Linked DNA regions of Bombyx mori. The protein of the gene in region 5 interacts with the protein of the main gene of each other region in a pairwise test. Links are inferred from orthologs where the notes say so. Each region holds a gene or a part of one and is shown on either strand. Other genes may lie near its edges.

Region 1 (4,035 bases), on a different chromosome or scaffold from region 5:
CACATATTATAATCTATCTAATCATTCATTTCTTAACTAAATTATTTTCCATAATTGCATAAAAAATTTACAGTGGTTTAATATGGCCATTTCAATCAATTTTTATAGAAAAACTAGCACCGCAAGAGCAACCTATATCTGCATTTGGGTTCTGTTGCACTCGGAAAGCAGACCTAATAAGTTCAGTGTGATAATCTATTGTTGAACCTTTAATATACTCAAGTGACGTCTCATCAACCACCACTTTGACACCATTTTTTTCAAATATCCTGAAAAAAAAACTTGGTTAGTCAATGAAGTTTTGTTTCATCTATTTCCTTAAAACAATAATGCGAGCTTCCGTACATATTCAATGCAATTACAAAAACATTGAATTACTAAATAGCATAACCTTAAATTCCTTAGGCCCTTTGGCAAAAATGTTAACTTTGGCAAATGTAGTAATGAATAGTAGTATTTTTTTTCAGTTCAGAAATTACGAGATTGATATTTAAACAACGTCAACTGGAATATCTTGAACTTATAAAAAAAAACATAACAAAATAAAGTTCAAGTAAATTTGAAGATTAAAAATTCATCATTTCATAATGCCCCTAAAAATTAATGCATTTTTTTTTAGGCTGTCATGTCCAATGAAGCCAATCATTTTACGTCTAGCTATCTTGATGTCCTCATTATTAAAAAGTCACTACTGCTAATGCATCGGTTTCCATCGTTAAAATAATTTTTCAACAAGAGAAAATATTGACAAAAAAAACGAATATTAAAGCAAAAGGGGCAAGGGTGTGGTATGTAATAGGGTTAATAGGGTTATAGGGTTTTGTATTAGAGTAGCAACAAAATGAGAATGTTATAATAAAGTATACTAAAAGATGTATCGGCTTTTTATACTCTTTTTCCTTTCATAAAAATTCATATAAAAATATTAAGATGATCATAAAAAATAATTATGATGTATTGGCTTACCAAATCAAGCATAAAATATACTCTAAATGTTTGCTCAGAACCCAAAAAAAATTAAATTGGCAATTATTGAAAAAAATTATTTTAACACTAATTTTATTTATAATATAAATGAATGGATACATAATGAACAATTTATTCTTTACTAACTTTTACACTCTGCTTCATGCATTATAGGCGGCGGCTTGGCTCTGCCCCTGGCATTAGTGATGATCATGAGTGACGGTAACCATTCACTATCAAGTGGGCTGTATGCTTGTATACCTACAAGGGCAATAAAAGAAATTATAATCTATAAATAGAAATCACATATCCCTAGAACAGCTTCTTGTTCTGAACGGACAGTATTCTCTGTGCTTTTCTGTATCATTGATAATCTACATTCCAAATTTTATGATCAGTCTCATCAAAGATCAAATTATTTGGTATAGATGTGCAAGGTTAAGAAGCAAATTCTATTTATAATATATTACAAGTATGGTTTGTATGCTTCATATAATTATATACTTATTTATATAATTATTATATATATATTAGAGAGAGAGAGAGAGAGAGAGAGAGAGACAAAGAAGTTGGATTGTATAAGTACTTCATTTGCAGCCTATTTACTCCACTGTTGGACTTAGGCATCTCCCATGGCACTACACACGACTCAATCCTGGGCCTTTCATCTAAAAACTCTCCATGAGACAGGCAGTGCCTAGTGTGAAGAGTTTTTAGCAAACTGTTATGTGTAAATGTTTTCAAGGTTAATAAATAAATTATTATTATATAAAAGATTGTAATACATAATTGGTTATTAAAAGTATAAGTTTCATATTACACAAAAAAACAGCAAAGCATTGCAAGTAACAGCTAGTATACCACAAGTCCAGCACTATTTTCATAGAATTTTTCTCTTTTAAAATGTATAGTTTTATTCTTAAAGGTTATTTATTTGTTTTCATAGTGTTTGATTAGTTGCTATTATTTTAACTCCAATGCAGGAGAATTTAACCAATCAAGACTAAGCAATTACTTTGATAAAAATTTGTTGCTAATAAAAGGTCCTGATTTTCCTAATTAAGTTATCATAATATTAGTAACTTTTGTTGTACTTGTGTATATTTTTGGGATATAGGAATTTAGTCCAGACTGATTGAAGTCTCTCATTTAGACCATTAAGAAAACACAATGTCTTCTACATTGATAAAGAAATGAAGAATAATATTACAATATAATATTCATTATTATTATTATACAGAATGAAAAATGAGTTTGAAAAATGATATTATATATTTGACAAGAATGCTTCTTAATTTCTAAAATAATAGCACTGAATATTCTTTCCACGAGTTTTGTTACAGCTCTTTTCTTATTCTTTTTATTCTGCCACTATCTTATGCAATCAAAAGTGAGTTGTATAGCAGAGTACTTCGATATTTTGCTCTAATACATACCTGTCATCACTATCAACAACATTGTCTAAGTTGAATTTATACTGGAATCCAGAGCATCCACCACTTTCTACACAAAGCCTCAGAAAGGTATCGTTTTCTTTACATAATTCTTTTAATTTTTGTACACAATTGTCACTAATACTGATATCTGTACTTGAAACAGAAGTTGCTGGTTCTTGGGAGAATCTTTTGTTTAATGTGTTTACATTAACAAACTTTTTTAACTGGTGTAAATTTCTAAAACGTAAAAACATTTTCTTTCGTATTCTAGAAAAATATCTTCCAGTGCTTTAACTAAGTTTATTATTTAATTCTATTCTAGTCACAGCCTACATAAAGATACTTGAGACATACATAGGAAGTGTATAATCTATGTACATAGGTGTACCACAATTGACATTGACAATGACATATTATGTAGACTTGCGCTTTGCTTGTACCGAAAATTTTCGAGAATTACGGAGGCCGATCCGACATTGATTTTTGGCCAAATAAGATCGATTTTTAATCGTGTAATAAAAATCTAATGCGCAAAAATTATAATTTACGTACTTGTTCGTGAGCCCCCATGGGTGAATGACACTACTCTGCCTGTTTCTGCCGTGACGCAGTATTAAGTTTCGGTTTGAAGGGTAGGGCAGCAATTGTACTATAAAAATTAAAATTCGAAACTCATGTCTCAAAGTGGATGATGGTATTTATGTTGTTGATGTCTATGGACTACGGCAACCACTTAACACCAGGTGGGCCGTGGGCTCGTACACCCACATAAGAACTTAAAAAAAGCAACCAATTGGCAGCTCAATAAAAAAAACCGCACATAATTTTCTGGAACTAGCACTATTTTCAATGATGAACTTTCCAATTCTACATCCATAGCAATCTCATCTCTATTATATTTTTCTCCTATTAATTAAACATTAGTTCTTGTGGTAAACACAATAGTCCTTTAGTGACTATTCCTCTGAAAGCGATAATTGCATTTCTGTCTTCATATTTGGTAAATTATTTATTTATATACTCCATACACCGCACGATCAGATGGAATAAATAATTAATAACTGGGAACAAATGACGCAGGGGACATCTGGCCCCAGATTGGGATTATCTGTGCTATGGGTATCAGAGAGTGATATATATACTTATATATGTTTAAAAATATAGATATATAAATAATAAACACTCAGGCAATAAACCTTTCATCACACTAATGTTAGCCCGATGTGGGAATCGAACCCATAACCCTCGGCGCAGTCAGGGTCACTGCCAGCTGAATGCAAACTGAAAAAAACCGCTTCTTGAATAATCGAAGTTTTAGACCTCGATTTTTTATGTGGTTCGATAGAGTATCGAATCGATTTTTAAGTTCGAAATTTTTCGAAAAGAATTGACACCCCTATTAAAGAAAACAAAACATGTTTTTCTAATTTATGTAAGCAAAAGAAACAAACGCTATACGTGTAAAGTTTTTTAGGTTAAATCCATGGCTGTAAAATACAAATTGTAACAAAAATGTATCAACACCTTGATGATCTAAAATAGAAATAGAAAATAAATAAGCCAAAGAACCCAAGAAGACACGCCCTAGGACTCCATTTCATTGTATCCATTTATTCGCTTTCATAGATACTGT
Region 2 (3,820 bases), on a different chromosome or scaffold from region 5:
GAACTAGAAGATGCTTTGCGAGACTTTGTCAAGTCGAAACCTTTAAGAACATGGAAAATTACATTAGCCAAAATTAGATAGTAGAAAAATATACTGTTTTGAAAATAGTGTGTGAGTAGTAGTTTAATTGGCTATTTTATTACATTTGACCGTAAATATATCTCTTGTATAAATTGTGTTGTCAGTTGTAATGTTGATAATGTTTCACAGTTTTATAGTGGAATGTGATCTTATTACTAAGTTATATATACTGTACAGAACTGTGAGGTTAATTTTATTTAAGTAAATCTATTTAGGCTAAGGCCCATAACTCAAGTTTGCATTTAAATAAACTACAATAATATATACTTTTGGTTAAATTTTCAAAATCAACATTATAGTTATTGTGTTTGTTTATCCACTTAACAAGAATTTTATGGAGGCCTATCAATTTATGATTGAATACTGTGATTGTAGTTTTCTGTTTAAGTTCAGAGTAGGTTTAAGATGATGAAAATAAAACATTTCATAAATATCTTGTTTATTTAGTTAACCGTAGCATTGTTCTAATAGCCACCAATTATTAAATAATATATTAATACTAGCAGACTCGGCCACACGTTGCTGTGGCTAACGTTTTTGTTTCTAAATAACACGTGGCTGGCTATGCTAATACCAAAAATTAACAAAGTAAGAACAATTGGATTTCACTGTATTGCGTTTACTACGAAATGAATTTTACTTATACTTTAGCCTCAACAACACGCGGTGTTGCCATTAAATTGTAGCTTATGTGAAACGTTGGTATTTTTAACACAGCGCCATCTATGACATATTATTTTCAGACAGTATTATAATTGTCTGTAAAAATTGGTTTAAGGCGCCATCTGTTTTAGACTTATGAAACTTACAATTAATAACAATAATCCACATAAGAAATAATTTTATTGTTAATTAATAAATATTGCGAGCATTAATCGAAATAAAAACCATCATAGGACCTAAGCTGGAACAAAACACATATTTAAAAAAAAAGGTAGTTAAAATCGGTTCAGTAGTTTAGATGTCCATCGCGGAGACAAGTATGTTGGAAACATTCGAGGAATAATTAAGGTTTGGTATGTAATATGTATGGTATGTAATACATACATTAAACATATATTTACTACAAAATCCAGAGTTCACAAATAAAACATATATTAGAGGTCATATACATGATGTCAAGTGCTCGAATTGCAATACTATTTCATTAAAACTGATTGTGCTGAAATACTCGATTGATTTTATGCGTCCATTTGGGAAATAAACAACTACATGTAATGATCATCATCATCATCATCATCACGTATTTGTGTATGTATATGATCTCATGTCGGAATGAAATCTAAGATTCTAAAAATTTGTTTTATATTTTTTTATTTCTACCATTATCACATGTATATTAACTAATTGAGTACGGGCACTGGGCGTTAAAAGTTTTACAAATTTGTGGTAATATTGAACGAAATTCGTTAACGCCATTTGCAACAGACCTGACCCGGTAACTAGATTTGGAAACGATACTAGCACTTCTCTATGTATTTCTTCTAGACTTTGTTTCCATCCCGAACTGAATGATGCTACAAGGGATAGAGATTTTCTTTCTAATCCGGCTAATTCTGCCTTTTTATCACCATCTAGCAATTGCTCACATTCCTTGACAAACTGTATCATTCCACCAAAATGTGGACTGAGAATCTCTTCTACATATTCTGAACTTCTTCCCTGTAATTGTTCCCTGAAGCTTTCTGCTTCTTTTGTGTTGTCTCTAGTTCTTTCCATTAATATGCTGAGGACCATGTCGTAATTATTAATTAAAAATATAAGCTGTTGTATTCTTTGAGGGAACTCTGCAGCCATTTTAAGTAAAAAACAATGGACTTCATCCTGAAGTACAGTCAGAAGTTTACTGAGTTCTTCAGACGGGAATTGTTCACTGAGGCTCAGCATAGCTGCCGAAAATTCGGCGTACCTTCGTGTTATCTGTAAAATGAAAGTTTTCAAGTAATTCATACTTTTACAGTTATTAACATTATGAATGACCTAGGTTCTTAGGACTCCTTTATGAATAATACGAATGTAAGACTTATATAAATATTATATAACATACTTATTTATTACATATATGAACTCTTAATGTGAAAAAAATGTAGTTTTGTGAATTCCAGATTCCACTTTCAAGGTTTCGTCATCGTAGCGAGATGAGATCGTAAAATAATTTCAAATAATGACAGTTGTTTCAATTTATTTATATACGAATATTTCTGGAATGATTACACAATTTTAAGATACTAAGTTTGAAACATAGCAAATTTATAATAATATTTTTTGTATTTATTACACTATGTATTTGTACACATTCGCGGACTAAAAGCCTAAGGCATTCTCTACCAGTCAACCGTAGGCAATGCAGAGAAAATAATTAGAGGTGTATTAATACAATTAAACCCAATTATATTGTAGGCAATAAATCCAGATCTAAAGCAAAATAATTTATACTAATGAAATTTAAATTGTAAATATTTACATAATGCGGTCCCATTTCCTTGTTTGACAGTTTAGAAGGGTCGCAGTCCCGTACGCTTTGAATGTTCAGTTTTAATACATATTGTAGCCGAGGCCACAAAGTGTTGTATAATGATTCCCAGTAACTGCAACAACATACGTACGAATATTAATTAGTTTAGCGTTTAAACTGACATAAAAATTGTGGTGTTGAGATTTACAGCATATCATTCTGTTTCATAGTTTTTATTTAATAGACTATTTATTTAATAATTAATTTATTTGATCAATGAAAACTTTAGGAACAAGTCCTTGTAAATAGTTAAGATGTTTTTCAGGGCTTTGTTAAATTTTTTGATTATTCAAGATTCTATATAAGATCTAATATATTATAAAATTCTCGTGTCACGGTGTGCGTGATATATATCCTTTGTAAACGTACTTTTCCTTATTCAAGGTTTCTGTATTCGCAGCATATTTACGGAAATACCCGATCCAGTGGACCGGATGGTAAACAGTCGACGTCGCCCTAAACACACTTCATTACGGATCCTCCGGATACATTAGCGGTGCTTTTAGGTACCTCAAGCACCAGTCCTCGCGACGAAAGGCTCGACGAAGTAAATTAACCCATAGACATAGCCCACTGAGTTTCTCGCCGGAACTTCTCAGTGAGTCGCATTTCCGATCCGGTGGTAAATTGTGCGAAGTACTGCTCTTGTTAGGGCCAGTGTTAGCAACACTCCCGGTTTGAGCCCCGTGAGCTCACCTACACGTCAAGGAGAAGCTGAAATAGCCTCTCAAGGCTATCAGCATAGGTAGGAAAAAAAACTTACAAAACATATATTCTGTGAATAAGGACCTTTTACTGTATATACATTTATCTGCGTGTTTGGGTCAAATGTAGCAAATTAAACCTCTACTTATCATACGGAGTTGAACTTTTACTTCTTGGTTCAATTTCAGTGATGAGAGTATTTTTATGGTAAGCAATGACCATAAAAATGAGCTTTAGGTAAAGCAACTCTTCAAAGGTACACAGCATAGATATGAGATTTTGTTGTACGCATTTATTATGTGTGTATTTTAGATTTTATCGTTACATGGTGTTGCTGCGCTGAGGGTTGGTTTCTGAATAAGGAACTCTTCAATGGGCAGCATAGATATTAAAAATATATGCATTCAGTTATGATGAGTGATTTCTCAGTTTCATCATCTCATGGTTACAGCCCTCAAAATGAACAGCACTGGCACAATCTACTTGTATACTAATATTATAAAGCTGAAGAGTTTGTTT
Region 3 (3,988 bases), on a different chromosome or scaffold from region 5:
GACCCCAAGCGGAAAAGAGGACATATTGCGCGACCTCACATAGTTTGACAAGGGCAATTTTAACATACATCAGGACCATGATTGTTTTAAAAACAATAATAAAAGTACAAAAACATGACCTACCCACTCAATTCTAAAGTAATGCAAACAAACATTCAGATATCATTTTGGGTTAAAATAGTCAGCAAGTCAACAACATAGTGGATACAGTAATATTTTTGAAGATTATTACATACATCTATACCAATATATAACTCTACAGTGGTTTTTACGGGTGTTCCATTATAACTACTGAACCATGCATCCGATCGACTTGAAACTTAGTATCCATGTAGAAAATACATGTACTTAATGGACAGGGTAATATTTATATGAGTGTATGACTCCCTACACAAGTTGCGAGGGCGTTAATGATGAGAATCTTTGTGCGGGTGAGAAATAATAATGTTAATTTTAAATGCCTAGCGAAGTGAGTGGGTACAGCTAGTATGTACATGTTATATATATATACATTACATGTATATACATACATTACATGCATATTATTGTATACATTTGGACTATTACTAGTTTACTAATCGTATTTCTGTTTAAAGATACTTCTGCTTATGTGTTTCTTACAAGCCTTATTAGATTTATTGTGCTAATATGTACCGATTTCGGTTATTAAAATACAAACAGGCATACATATATACTAAAGCATTTGAATTGAGATAAAGTATAATGCATATCTAACTACAATCTCAAGTGTCTCAAGATAGAAATAGCATTTATGTTGCAATTTATTTTTATTTTTTGCTCTACAGCCTATAGTTATCACAGTGCATATGCAGCCTCTCGTCTGCCTGCACACAACAATAAAAAACGAACCATAAAATAAAAGCCCTATTGTTCATAATTGAGAAACCCATTTCTAATGATTAGAAACATAAATCCAGACATACACTGTTAAAACTTATCAAAGATAACATTTTAAATAGTATTTATTTATGTACAGATTTTGGTCTAAAATGTCTAAGTAGACATTTTAGACCAAAATCATTTTAACTAACAAAATGTAATAGACATTAGACCACACAAAAAGAACTACACAGGAATGATCAACAAAAATAGATTATTTATGAAGACAGATCAGACTTTGTTCTAGGAATATAAAAATATGATGCATTGCTGGTGCCATGAAAACCTGTGAAATAATTATAGGAAGCGTGTCTATCTACATACATAAATATTATCAATCCTTACAATGTTTTGTGGTATGTTCATTACTTTGTAACATATTGTTGTGTGAGCTGTTCTCATTATTGTACAGCTTGTATTGAATGTAATTCGGAATTAAAATTGACTTCAATGTTTTGTCAAAACAAATTTGTTACTACATTATTCACATGAAAGATCACTGACATTGTGATCAACATACTTCATCTATTTTTGTCTAGCAAAGAACCTAAGCAATACAACTACAACTTATCATATTCAATCATAGACCAGCAGAAATCTAAGCTGATATTTAATTTAGAAATGGAATTAGTAGTAAATAAAGTAAAGTATAATTGTAGTAATTCAGTACATAATTGTATTTATTATTTTGATTTTTTTTATCATTTATGTTGTATTTATCATTAATACTTGTATTTATTGTATAAATAAATATTTCCTTTCATGCCTCAACCAATACACCTGCTACGATCGAAATGTAAAATATAAATAAATTAAAATTAAACTCGTATTTTTTGAATTAATTTAGAGAAACACTCAGTCAAAAGTAAGCACTATATTCAACAACCTTAAGAGTCGATTTCCTATTTTATAGGTACCAGAAACACTCATTTAGGTTTTGAATATGCATGCACAGTATCTTAAAGATACTGACTAGCTGGAATTGAACTTGGATCCTTTATCACTATTGACAAGGTCACTACTACGTCAATAATGTTATATTATAAAAGTTTTCAATCTGGATTTAAAAAACCTACAATATGTTGTGTATACATTTCCATGATGAGTATTGAATGATAGAGTTGAAATGATATATTGATTTTTAAGACTTCACGTTATGTTCCCACAATAACTTTGGTATAGTTTTAGCTCCTTGTTCATTAATAATTGAATTTGTCTTTCATGACAGTGAATATTTAATTTTGAAGAAAATATATTTTTTTAATAAATATTATTCTTATTTTTTTTTATAGTTTTTCTTAAATGTTTATTATTAATGAGGAAAACCTCATATATTTATGTTATTCCTCTCGGTATTCTAAACAGGATACCAGGCGCACATGAATTGATACAATTTAATGAACTAGAAAACGCAGGCTTTATAAATAGAAGGCCAAAGGGCCAACGACTGCGGTCGGGCAAAATCATTCAATCGATGTGCAAATAATCATTTAAGCGGAAATACTTAACGGCGCTTTAAAACGCAAAATAATACTGTAATTTTTTTGTTTTTATTTTTAAATATTTTATTTCTTCATTCCTTTTAGTATACACTTATTTTAAGTTAATAATTAAAGGCATTTATTTTTTGTCCAAAAATATCCCTTCGAAGTGGTAAATGCATCCCCACCCTATACCCAGTAATGTGTTAACAGGAATGAATTTTGAAGTGAAATCTCTTTTGGATTTCCAAAAAACCTTCGACATTTATAACTTAAAGCATAAAAATTAACTCACCCCATTGTTTCTTTTCCTGCGGTCATTTAAAACACAAAATTAATGAAAATATTTTACTTCATATTTCCCTAATTTTTCACTTGAGATCTGTCATAAGCGTTCGGTACCCATAGACTAAAGACTAAAAGTCAATTGAACATAGCAAAATTCTACAGAATGTTTATGGATGGTACAAAAAATGACTCTATTCATAGTTTTTTAACATGAACTGTTTTATTACTACTTTAACAAAGTTATGTAAAAAAATCTTGTATTAATACATTTGTAAATACACGGTAGTCCATAAGCCACCTAATTTCTTAACATTTCATTCAACAATGACTTTACTACTGCACGCTAGATGTCACTGAACGTCTTGTCTGTTTTGTTAAAAGGCTTAACTATTTTTGTTTTTCTTGAAAATAATAATTATAAATAAAACATTTTCATTTTAAAATAGTGTGAATGGACCTGCCGTCCTTTACCACTTGAATCAGTCTTTAAGCATGGAAACAAAATAACCGAGCAACATTTTTTTTAATGCTCCTATGTTGATGTAGTACAACTACTCTTCACTAGATGTCACTAAATTAAAATTTGTTAAAAATTGGTTTGCTAATTAATCGTTAACAATTTAAAAAAATAGTAACGACAAGTCTTTGCGACTTTCTACTCTATTGGATATGACCCTTTGACAACTGAGATACCTAAGGACATTTCTTGTATATTAAGTGTAGTGCTGTACTGACATTCTCAACCCGTTTCGACCACACGCATTAAGTCATGGTGTAAGCTGAGTGAAAGTAATTGAGTTCACCAAATAAAAATAAAACCGTTCTGTAGATGTAAGAACTAAAAACTTATGTAACGCTGTAAAAGCCGGATCGACATTACATTACTCATTCGCTCACACTTGTAATTTATTAAAACAATTGAATTTAATTTTATTGAATTTCTTTGGATTTCGCGAGTTCTAGACATTATTAAAACTATTTTTACGGCTTAATCTCGCGTTTTTGCTGTCGTTATATTATTTCGGTAGCATCAGAAATTTCATTATAATTTTTTTGGGATCTTAACATATTTCTGAATCTTACTACGTAATGACATTATTAATTTACTGAAATCAATATATTATATCAGACAAATGTATCTATAACTAATCTTATTTTACTGTTACTCTGTCAAACCATCACAGGACTCATTGGCGTTAACTGATTGCCAAAAGCCGTAGAAGTCAAATATGACCCACCTTGAGATCGTCTAAGTCTCATAGGTATTGTATAAAGCCTTCCTCTTTCTCCCGCCAGAAAACTTTCAATTCACCCAACGA
Region 4 (4,012 bases), on a different chromosome or scaffold from region 5:
GTGTGTATTGTGAACCGTTTTCATAAGTGCTCACTGTTGATAACTTCTTAAAAATATATTTTCGTTATTGATGAACAAGATAGCTCATTCTTTTGAAGTGACTTTATTAAATTTGTAATAAGCAATTGCTGTGTGTTAGAATTTTACCTTTACACCTTTAACAGCACACTTTTAATTTTATTATGATTGTCTAATTTGGTTACTTATACACTAAAATGTTAGAATTACATTAGTTTTCTATAAAGTTACACGCCTTTTATCTTGTAATTAAGTAAACAAATGCATTATTTTTATTGTTTGGATAATGTTAAGCATCCTCAGTAAATCATTTATAGAATTTTATTAAGTACTGGTAACGACTGTACACAATGAAGTGTGTATTCGGGAACAACGGGCGCCCTTCATAGCCTTGCACGAGTTATTTATGTATGCGAGAGCATCATGTTCTTATTTCAAACACCATTTATTTTTAAATTCATAACATAAACTACTATTGGATTGAGGTACTTAGCATGCATTAGACAAAATTTTAACATAAACATTATCACAACGCACCTTTAAGCGCCAGGTACATAGGTGGAACCCGGTGACATAGGGAGTAAATTAACATAACTTCGTCCTTAGACTGTTTATAACACTGGTCATACCTCAAAATAAGACCTAAAACTTACTCACTATTATTAACAGCAAACATCACGAAACTAAATTAACTTTTATTTTAATATTGCGAATAGGAAATCACAGACGGTAATAAAATTATTGCCACACATTCAAACCAACCACAGTACACAACTTGACTTGAAGCCTATTGAAATGCGTTTACGAATGCGAGGTCTGTTTCTCTTTAAAATCTCATGCAAAATGTTGAGTGATCTGTGAGATTTCTGAACGAAATACAGAGAAAGTAAAATTCATAGAGAAAGAAAACTACCGAAAATTATTGCAATGATATGGTAATACCGTTAGTAAGTGAGAAGAGAATGTCAAATTTATATTTTTAGTCTATGTTCGACGTCAGGGTGTGGTAGAATTTAATTTCAGATATAGTGGTAAACATTTGCTCGGAATACGTTTTTGAAAACTCTTTGGTAGAATATCCTGGTATCAATCTCTTTATTTCATCGCCTGCGATCGTGCGCTTTAAACGTTTTTGAATCCAGTAAAGCAATAAGTGAAAATTAAGTAGAATTTTAACAATGGCAAATATAGCAGCCAAACGTATAAAAAGAGAGTTCAAAGAGATAATGAAAAGTGAAGAGGTATGGATAATAATTTAACTAAACTTTATATTTGTTTTGATGTTTAGAATGTAGAACTGGAGTTACTTGCACTTTTGTTAAAATGTCATATTTTGTTGGAATGCATTATTATTATTTAGATAGTTAAATTGCCCAAGAAACTAAATTGTTGGATTGTCTCGATATAATAAAACAAAGAACAAATAGCCAGTTCAGAACAATGTGTGCGTGATTCAGCAAACTTGTAGAAATCATGTTTTGTTTAAATTCAAAACGTTAATGCTATTTTTAATTCGTCGAAAAGGAATTATTTTACTGCTTCGTAATAGTAAAATTAGCTTTTCAAAATACATCTATAATGTTTTTCGTGATTCATACGAGAAAAAGTAAACATTTTGTTTTCTATATTTTCTACCAATGTTTTTAATAGAAACAATACTTATATTACCCACATTGATCTTTATAAGTAATTGAAGTTGTGTTTAAAATAAAATAAAAGATTTTATCCGATTTATGCCCAAGCAAAAGTATTTTTGGCTTATTTATCAAATCACAGTTATGACACTGGTGGCTTCAGGCAACCATTTACTTCCAAAAAGCCAGACATAGTACAGGTATTTTTACATTATTTTGGATTTATTCCCTCATTATTGATTGCCATTGAAATAGAACTTGTGTGTGGGGCACCAGCATCCCCTTGTATATGTGTTCAGCTTACCAAGTAGCAATATTTACACATAACATACCGAATTTTTTTAAATTAAATATCTGTAGCACTATTGTCATGGACAGATTGCCTTATTTATTGCAATTGTAAGAGCACACCTGCGTGCAATGCATGTAATACATTAATGTACCGAACATGATCCAGGCGATACTAAGCTAACAGCATTCATAATCCACATTTTGATTACAATAGTAATTGTCCTCATAAACATGAACTAGACGATGACCGAGCTTTGCTCGGTATTAATTTTTTTTTTGATAAATTGTCTTTCGGTTGGCTTAACAACGTCATCTGTGGAAATAACTTTAGTGTTATTGTGTCTTTAAACAATTATGAAAAATAGTATTATTATTCGCCAATATATGTCGGGAAGTCATAAAGTTGATTATCGATAAAGTTGATTATTGAAAACACAAGTAAAACAACATTTCCTAAAATAAATTCTAGCTAGATCGATTTATCGCTCCCTGAAATCCCATGTATACTAAATTTCATAAAAATCGTTGGAGCCATTTCCGAGATTCAGATTATATATATATACAAGAATTGCTTGTTTAAAGGTATAAGATTCTGTGTTTGTGTAGACTAAGAATATTAAATATCTCAGTCCTAGCCCAAACCCAGCAAAAACTGAATTTTTCATTAGACAAAGTTTTTGCACTTCCTGCAAGTATGTGCTCTCCAATTAGCAAGTATCTTTTACTGCCTAGGTTGTATCTGAAAGCTAGCATGTGTAGTAAGAAGGTTACTCCTACTTAAAATATCTGCACTGCATTAGCACCAAGGCCCAATTTTTGTTTATTTATATATAGTGTAGATTATTGGAACTATCTTCTTATTGAGATCCATATTAAGAGTTTTTCAGGAATACCATTCATTAAATTGAATTACCAGGGCTCTTGCATTTACTTTTCTTAACCTTCTGTACTGAAATAATATACTGTACAATGACACATTGTGTAATTGTGTTAGTCATATTTGTATATCTAAAAGTGCATACTTGCTGCATTGTAAGCTTGCACAATTTCTTATCTCTCTCTAACCTTTAGCTTCTGCACGGCTGCCCACTGAGATCTTCTAGCACCTCACATCTAAATGGAACAAATGTTTATGTTTCTGCAAATATAAACAGCAGGGAAAACAAAGAGGGTTGTAATTGCCAGGAGGAGTGGGATTTGCTAACAACTGCCTTAGCACCTCTAAAGAAAACCTGCCATCTCAAGGGCAATTGCTTCACGAATTCATCTTCTACCAGACCGGAATTGCGCCCCACTGAGAAGATCTGGCGAGAAATTTAGCAGGCTCTAAATGTTATAGAGGGTAGATTTACTTTGAACTCTGACGAGTTTGATGAGTTCGGTTAGCAGGGTTCCTATACTTGCTCCTAGTGTTAGAGTTGCAGGTATCTAATGCAAGAGTTATTGGATCAGATAGATCTGTAAGGACGTGTCTAGAACGTCAACGATGACTGACTCCTGTGTGAGTCTGTGGCGATATACTTGCTCCTAGAGTTAGAGTTGTAGGTATCTAATGCACGAGTTATTGGATCAGATAGATCTGTAAGGACGTGTCTAGGACGTCAACGATGACTGACTCCTGTATGAGTCTGTGGCGATGGTGGCGGATGTGATTTTCATCAAGATTCATTATCATTTCTTCAAGATCTACATATTGCGATGTAACATCATATTACTTATATCTCAATCAATTCTAGGGCTTTAACAGCCTTCATAAAAAGGAGGCTATTTATCAATTCAGCTCTGTTTTTTGTGTTAATTCAAAAGTTTTTCTCGGTCAACTGATTTTTATGATTCTTTTTTTTTTTATTATCAAATTTCAATTTTTATCGAAGTCTGAGCAGTCGTTTTTGAGTTATCCTTATTGATCTATATTTAATTGACATTGATTACATTGATCAAATTATCTCAAAATCAAAAAATGATCTAATTTTAATTTTTAAATTTGGTTTTCTTTTTTTTAATTTCGGTATCGTATTCATAAAGCTGTTTGGAACCCATTTTCGTCCTGAAATATGATTTCAATATAG
Region 5 (3,396 bases):
AGACACACTTTCATTAACTTATTCTTAAAAAGTCGTCTATTTGTGTAAATTATTTTATTTATTGTAATCGAAATTGTAAAAAATATAAACCATAAATAATTTGTTTCTGTTATGAAATTATGTCCGTGTTTGATAATACATGGCTAATAAGATTAATCTGTCGAACAGGTGAATTTAATCCTAAACGACCAATACCTTGTGAGGCAGGATGTGGACTGGTGATACCAAAAGATGAATTAGCCCAACATAATTGTGTACGTGAGCTTAGAGCACTGATAGCCACTCAGCAGGGGAAGCTGAATGATTACCAGCAAGAACTGGCTGAACAGAGGCTCGTTATTAATGAGCACAAACGAGAATTGGCATTATTAAAGGTATGTTTTTTTACTATTTGTAGTTTTTTCTTAAATAACACATTCAATGTAGATTCTTTCTACCTACGTATTACCTACATAAAAAGAAATGTGAACTTTAACATTATGTTAATTTATATTTATAAATATCAGTTAACTTGTTAAAGTTTAAACATAACAAACAATAACTTGGTCTCCTTAAGTTAAAAAATTTCGATTAATCGAATTCTATAAAGCAACCATTAAAATGAGATGCGCAAATCTAACCACTTTTAAATCAGGAACATTTTCTTGAAGGAGTTCATGAGAGCGATGCGCGTGTCGAATCCAACGATGCGTGCATTGGCGGATCAGATGGAGCGCGAGGAGGTGGTGCGCTGGGCCAACTCACTGGCCAGGGCGAGGGTCACCAGGTGGGGTGGCATGATCTCTACTCCAGATGATGTTCTGCAGGTATTATGTACATTTTTTAATAAGATAAAAGTAATTCTCTATAATGTAAGAAAAATTCGTATCAGCTTGCATTATATACAGATCGCAACGCGAGTAGGTACATCGAATGTTTTAGGACTTTTCAAATAATACCTAATCTGGCCACATGGAATCTGGCCACATGGAATCATTGATTTTGAGTCTTTGAAAACCAAAAAATAAGCTATAAAATACTTACAAAAAGCAAGCTCTATAATAACTCACTAATATACTATAAATATAAATATTGAAATATAATGTGAATTTTACTAAAAAAATTGCAGACGAGATCCTTAAATTACACACAAATAACATACATTAGGTCTTTATCTACAAAATTGCTGTTTTACGATACTGACTAGGAACAAACACAAGCTTGTTGTGCCGATGAGTAGGTTACATAAGATAAGAAATTCATTCGGGTGTTTGTGCGCCTGTACAACAAAATCCCACAAGATGTTCAGAACCTACATATACATAGGTTTAAGAAAACTGTTAAAGAACATCTGTGCAATAAAGCTTACTATAAAGTCAATGATTATCTAGAAGATTGCACAAAGTGGGAATGAGTTGCTCGCTCCGGGCATTTCAATATTGTAGTAATTGTTACGTTATAATACTCATTGTAAAAAACTCATATTTAAAAAAAAAATGTAATATTAAAAAATTAATAAATAATAATTGCTTATTAAAAAAAAAAAAAAACATGCCCGCTGAGTTTCTTGCCAATTCTTCTCAGGACGGAGGCTAGTTCTTGTGAATTGGCGGTAGTTCTTTTGACGTTCAACAAGTATGTACTTTCATTTATGTTGAATAAAAAATTTTTGATTTGATTTGATTTGATTTGATTTGACCGCTATAAACCATAATTTATGTCTGGCTGGTAATAATTACTTAAATGAAATTAATTTGATTTTCAATATCAGTCATTTCTTTATTGATTAGTGTTTTCTTTTCACTACGTTTGTATATTTTTCATTAATATGAACGCTATAAAAATGCGAGTAATTATGGAATAGAATGTTGTATGTATGATACATTTGCTCGAAAAATATCCTCCGACCACCAGGTAACACCCAAAAATTTTCATATTCCATGCAAAGTTAATGCCTTGTAACTACCAGAAAGTGTTTTCACAATTTAGTTCGTTAACAGATGATGATCAAACGAAGTTTATCGGAATCCGGCTGTCCCCCGCACATCATAGACGATCTAATGGAAAATTGTCACGAGAGGCGGTGGCCGCCAGGACTGTCGTCACTTGAAACTAGACAAAATAATAGAAGGTACCGATTGCAATAATATCGAGATTTATTTCCAATGCTTAAGCGATCCATAATATTAAATAAAAAGAATAGGTAGTTTTAGTTTTTCGTATTTTTACATTTTGAATCTTGTATTGAGATATTGTCGAATAAAACAAAGTTATGCACCCTATGTTTATAATGTCATCATTAAAAATAACTGCAGATGTTTATGTTCAAAAAGGGGTTTGATGTGTCATGAGCCTTTCAGAAACTTTCATCTACTATAATTTTAATTTTGTCATATTTGAACATCATTAGAGACCTTTTGATTTTTTGCCAGAATTACATATTGATAATAAATAAAACATTATTCGAAGCTGTAGTTTTAAATAGCCCTTTTTTATTGCTTAGATGGGTGGACGAGTTCACAGCCATCCTGGTGTTAAGCGGTTACTGAAGCCCATAGACATCTACAAAGTAAATGCGCCACCCACCTTGAGACATAAGTTCTAAGGTCTCAATGTAGCTACAACGGCTGCCCCACCCTTTAAATCGAAACGCATTACTGCTTCACGTCAGAAATAGGCGGGGTGGTGGTACCTACCCGTGCGGACTCACAAGAGGTCCTGCCACCAGTAAAAATACCACAATAGCCTATCACACTGGCCCTATTATTTTTTTTAATGTTATAAAATTCACAGGCTATACGAAAAGTATGTTTGCAAGAGGGTGCCAGGCAAACAGGCGGTGCTGGTTCTTCATTGCGACAACACACACGTCGACGAGCACATGATGGTGGAGCCCGGGCTGGTCATGATATTCGCGCACGGAATCGAATAGCGGACTCTGAGGCGCTGCGTCGTGACGTCACGGCGCCCGCTCTACTGTACAGTGATCTTTCAATGAGTGTTCTGAATGTTGCTTACGCATAGGTGAATTTATTCCAACGTGGTAAAAGTCCTAAATTTTAGTGCGGTGCAATTGCAATGAATTCACTGTGCTCAGTGCGAGTTTCATAACGTTCTCGATAGCGTAAAAGTTAAGCCAATTTTGTATGCAGTTGGAACAGCGCCCCTAGCGGCAAACGTAGGCAAACGATCCCATTCCATACAAATATGAGCTAACTTTTACGCTATCGAGAACGTTAAAAAACTCTCACTAAGCACACAGAACTTACAGCGAAATTAGTTGCTAAAACTGTGCATTTAGCTCACGAAAAGCTATTACAATTAAGTGTTAAATTGTTGTTGAAGGGTTGACTATGCTGACAAGCATCTCACTCACTCCATACTGACACACGTGTTAATAGTAAAGTTGGTTTCTGG

Evidence for each region.
Region 1: the proteins of E3 ubiquitin-protein ligase NRDP1 (region 5) and uncharacterized protein LOC101736064 interact in binary tests that used the Homo sapiens proteins (3 or more experiments, as listed by UniProt). The link is inferred for Bombyx mori from reciprocal best matches to the Homo sapiens genes RNF41 and ISCA2.
Region 2: the proteins of E3 ubiquitin-protein ligase NRDP1 (region 5) and vacuolar protein sorting-associated protein 52 homolog interact in binary tests that used the Homo sapiens proteins (3 or more experiments, as listed by UniProt). The link is inferred for Bombyx mori from reciprocal best matches to the Homo sapiens genes RNF41 and VPS52.
Region 3: the proteins of E3 ubiquitin-protein ligase NRDP1 (region 5) and homer protein homolog 2 interact in binary tests that used the Homo sapiens proteins (3 or more experiments, as listed by UniProt). The link is inferred for Bombyx mori from reciprocal best matches to the Homo sapiens genes RNF41 and HOMER2.
Region 4: the proteins of E3 ubiquitin-protein ligase NRDP1 (region 5) and Ubcd4 interact in binary tests that used the Homo sapiens proteins (3 or more experiments, as listed by UniProt). The link is inferred for Bombyx mori from reciprocal best matches to the Homo sapiens genes RNF41 and UBE2K.

What each region holds. Positions count from the first base shown.
Region 1 is NC_085109.1:8,402,492-8,406,526, reverse strand, and holds the start of uncharacterized protein LOC101736064, read right to left. Parts: upstream 2,805-4,035; 5' UTR 2,657-2,804; coding exon 2,403-2,656; intron 270-2,402; coding exon 92-269; 3' UTR 1-91. UniProt on the Homo sapiens protein: Involved in the maturation of mitochondrial 4Fe-4S proteins functioning late in the iron-sulfur cluster assembly pathway. May be involved in the binding of an intermediate of Fe/S cluster assembly.
Region 2 is NC_085110.1:11,273,491-11,277,310, reverse strand, and holds the end of vacuolar protein sorting-associated protein 52 homolog, read right to left. Parts: intron 2,670-3,820; coding exon 2,546-2,669; intron 2,002-2,545; coding exon 1,372-2,001; 3' UTR 504-1,371; downstream 1-503. Other genes in the region: uncharacterized protein LOC101744334, read left to right, coding at 1-81. UniProt on the Homo sapiens protein: Acts as a component of the GARP complex that is involved in retrograde transport from early and late endosomes to the trans-Golgi network (TGN).
Region 3 is NC_085134.1:1,990,129-1,994,116, reverse strand, and holds the start of homer protein homolog 2, read right to left. Parts: upstream 2,815-3,988; 5' UTR 2,703-2,814; coding exon 2,677-2,702; intron 1-2,676. UniProt on the Homo sapiens protein: Postsynaptic density scaffolding protein. Binds and cross-links cytoplasmic regions of GRM1, GRM5, ITPR1, DNM3, RYR1, RYR2, SHANK1 and SHANK3.
Region 4 is NC_085107.1:6,308,549-6,312,560, forward strand, and holds the start of Ubcd4 (ubiquitin conjugating enzyme 4), read left to right. Parts: upstream 1-1,196; coding exon 1,197-1,259; intron 1,260-4,012. UniProt on the Homo sapiens protein: Accepts ubiquitin from the E1 complex and catalyzes its covalent attachment to other proteins. In vitro, in the presence or in the absence of BRCA1-BARD1 E3 ubiquitin-protein ligase complex, catalyzes the synthesis of 'Lys-48'-linked polyubiquitin chains.
Region 5 is NC_085128.1:13,449,075-13,452,470, forward strand, and holds part of E3 ubiquitin-protein ligase NRDP1, read left to right. Parts: exon of another isoform or gene 1-168; coding exon 169-374; exon of another isoform or gene 375-650; coding exon 651-809; intron 810-1,023; exon of another isoform or gene 1,024-1,979; coding exon 1,980-2,110; intron 2,111-2,772; coding exon 2,773-2,911; 3' UTR 2,912-3,396. UniProt on the Homo sapiens protein: Acts as E3 ubiquitin-protein ligase and regulates the degradation of target proteins. Polyubiquitinates MYD88. Negatively regulates MYD88-dependent production of pro-inflammatory cytokines.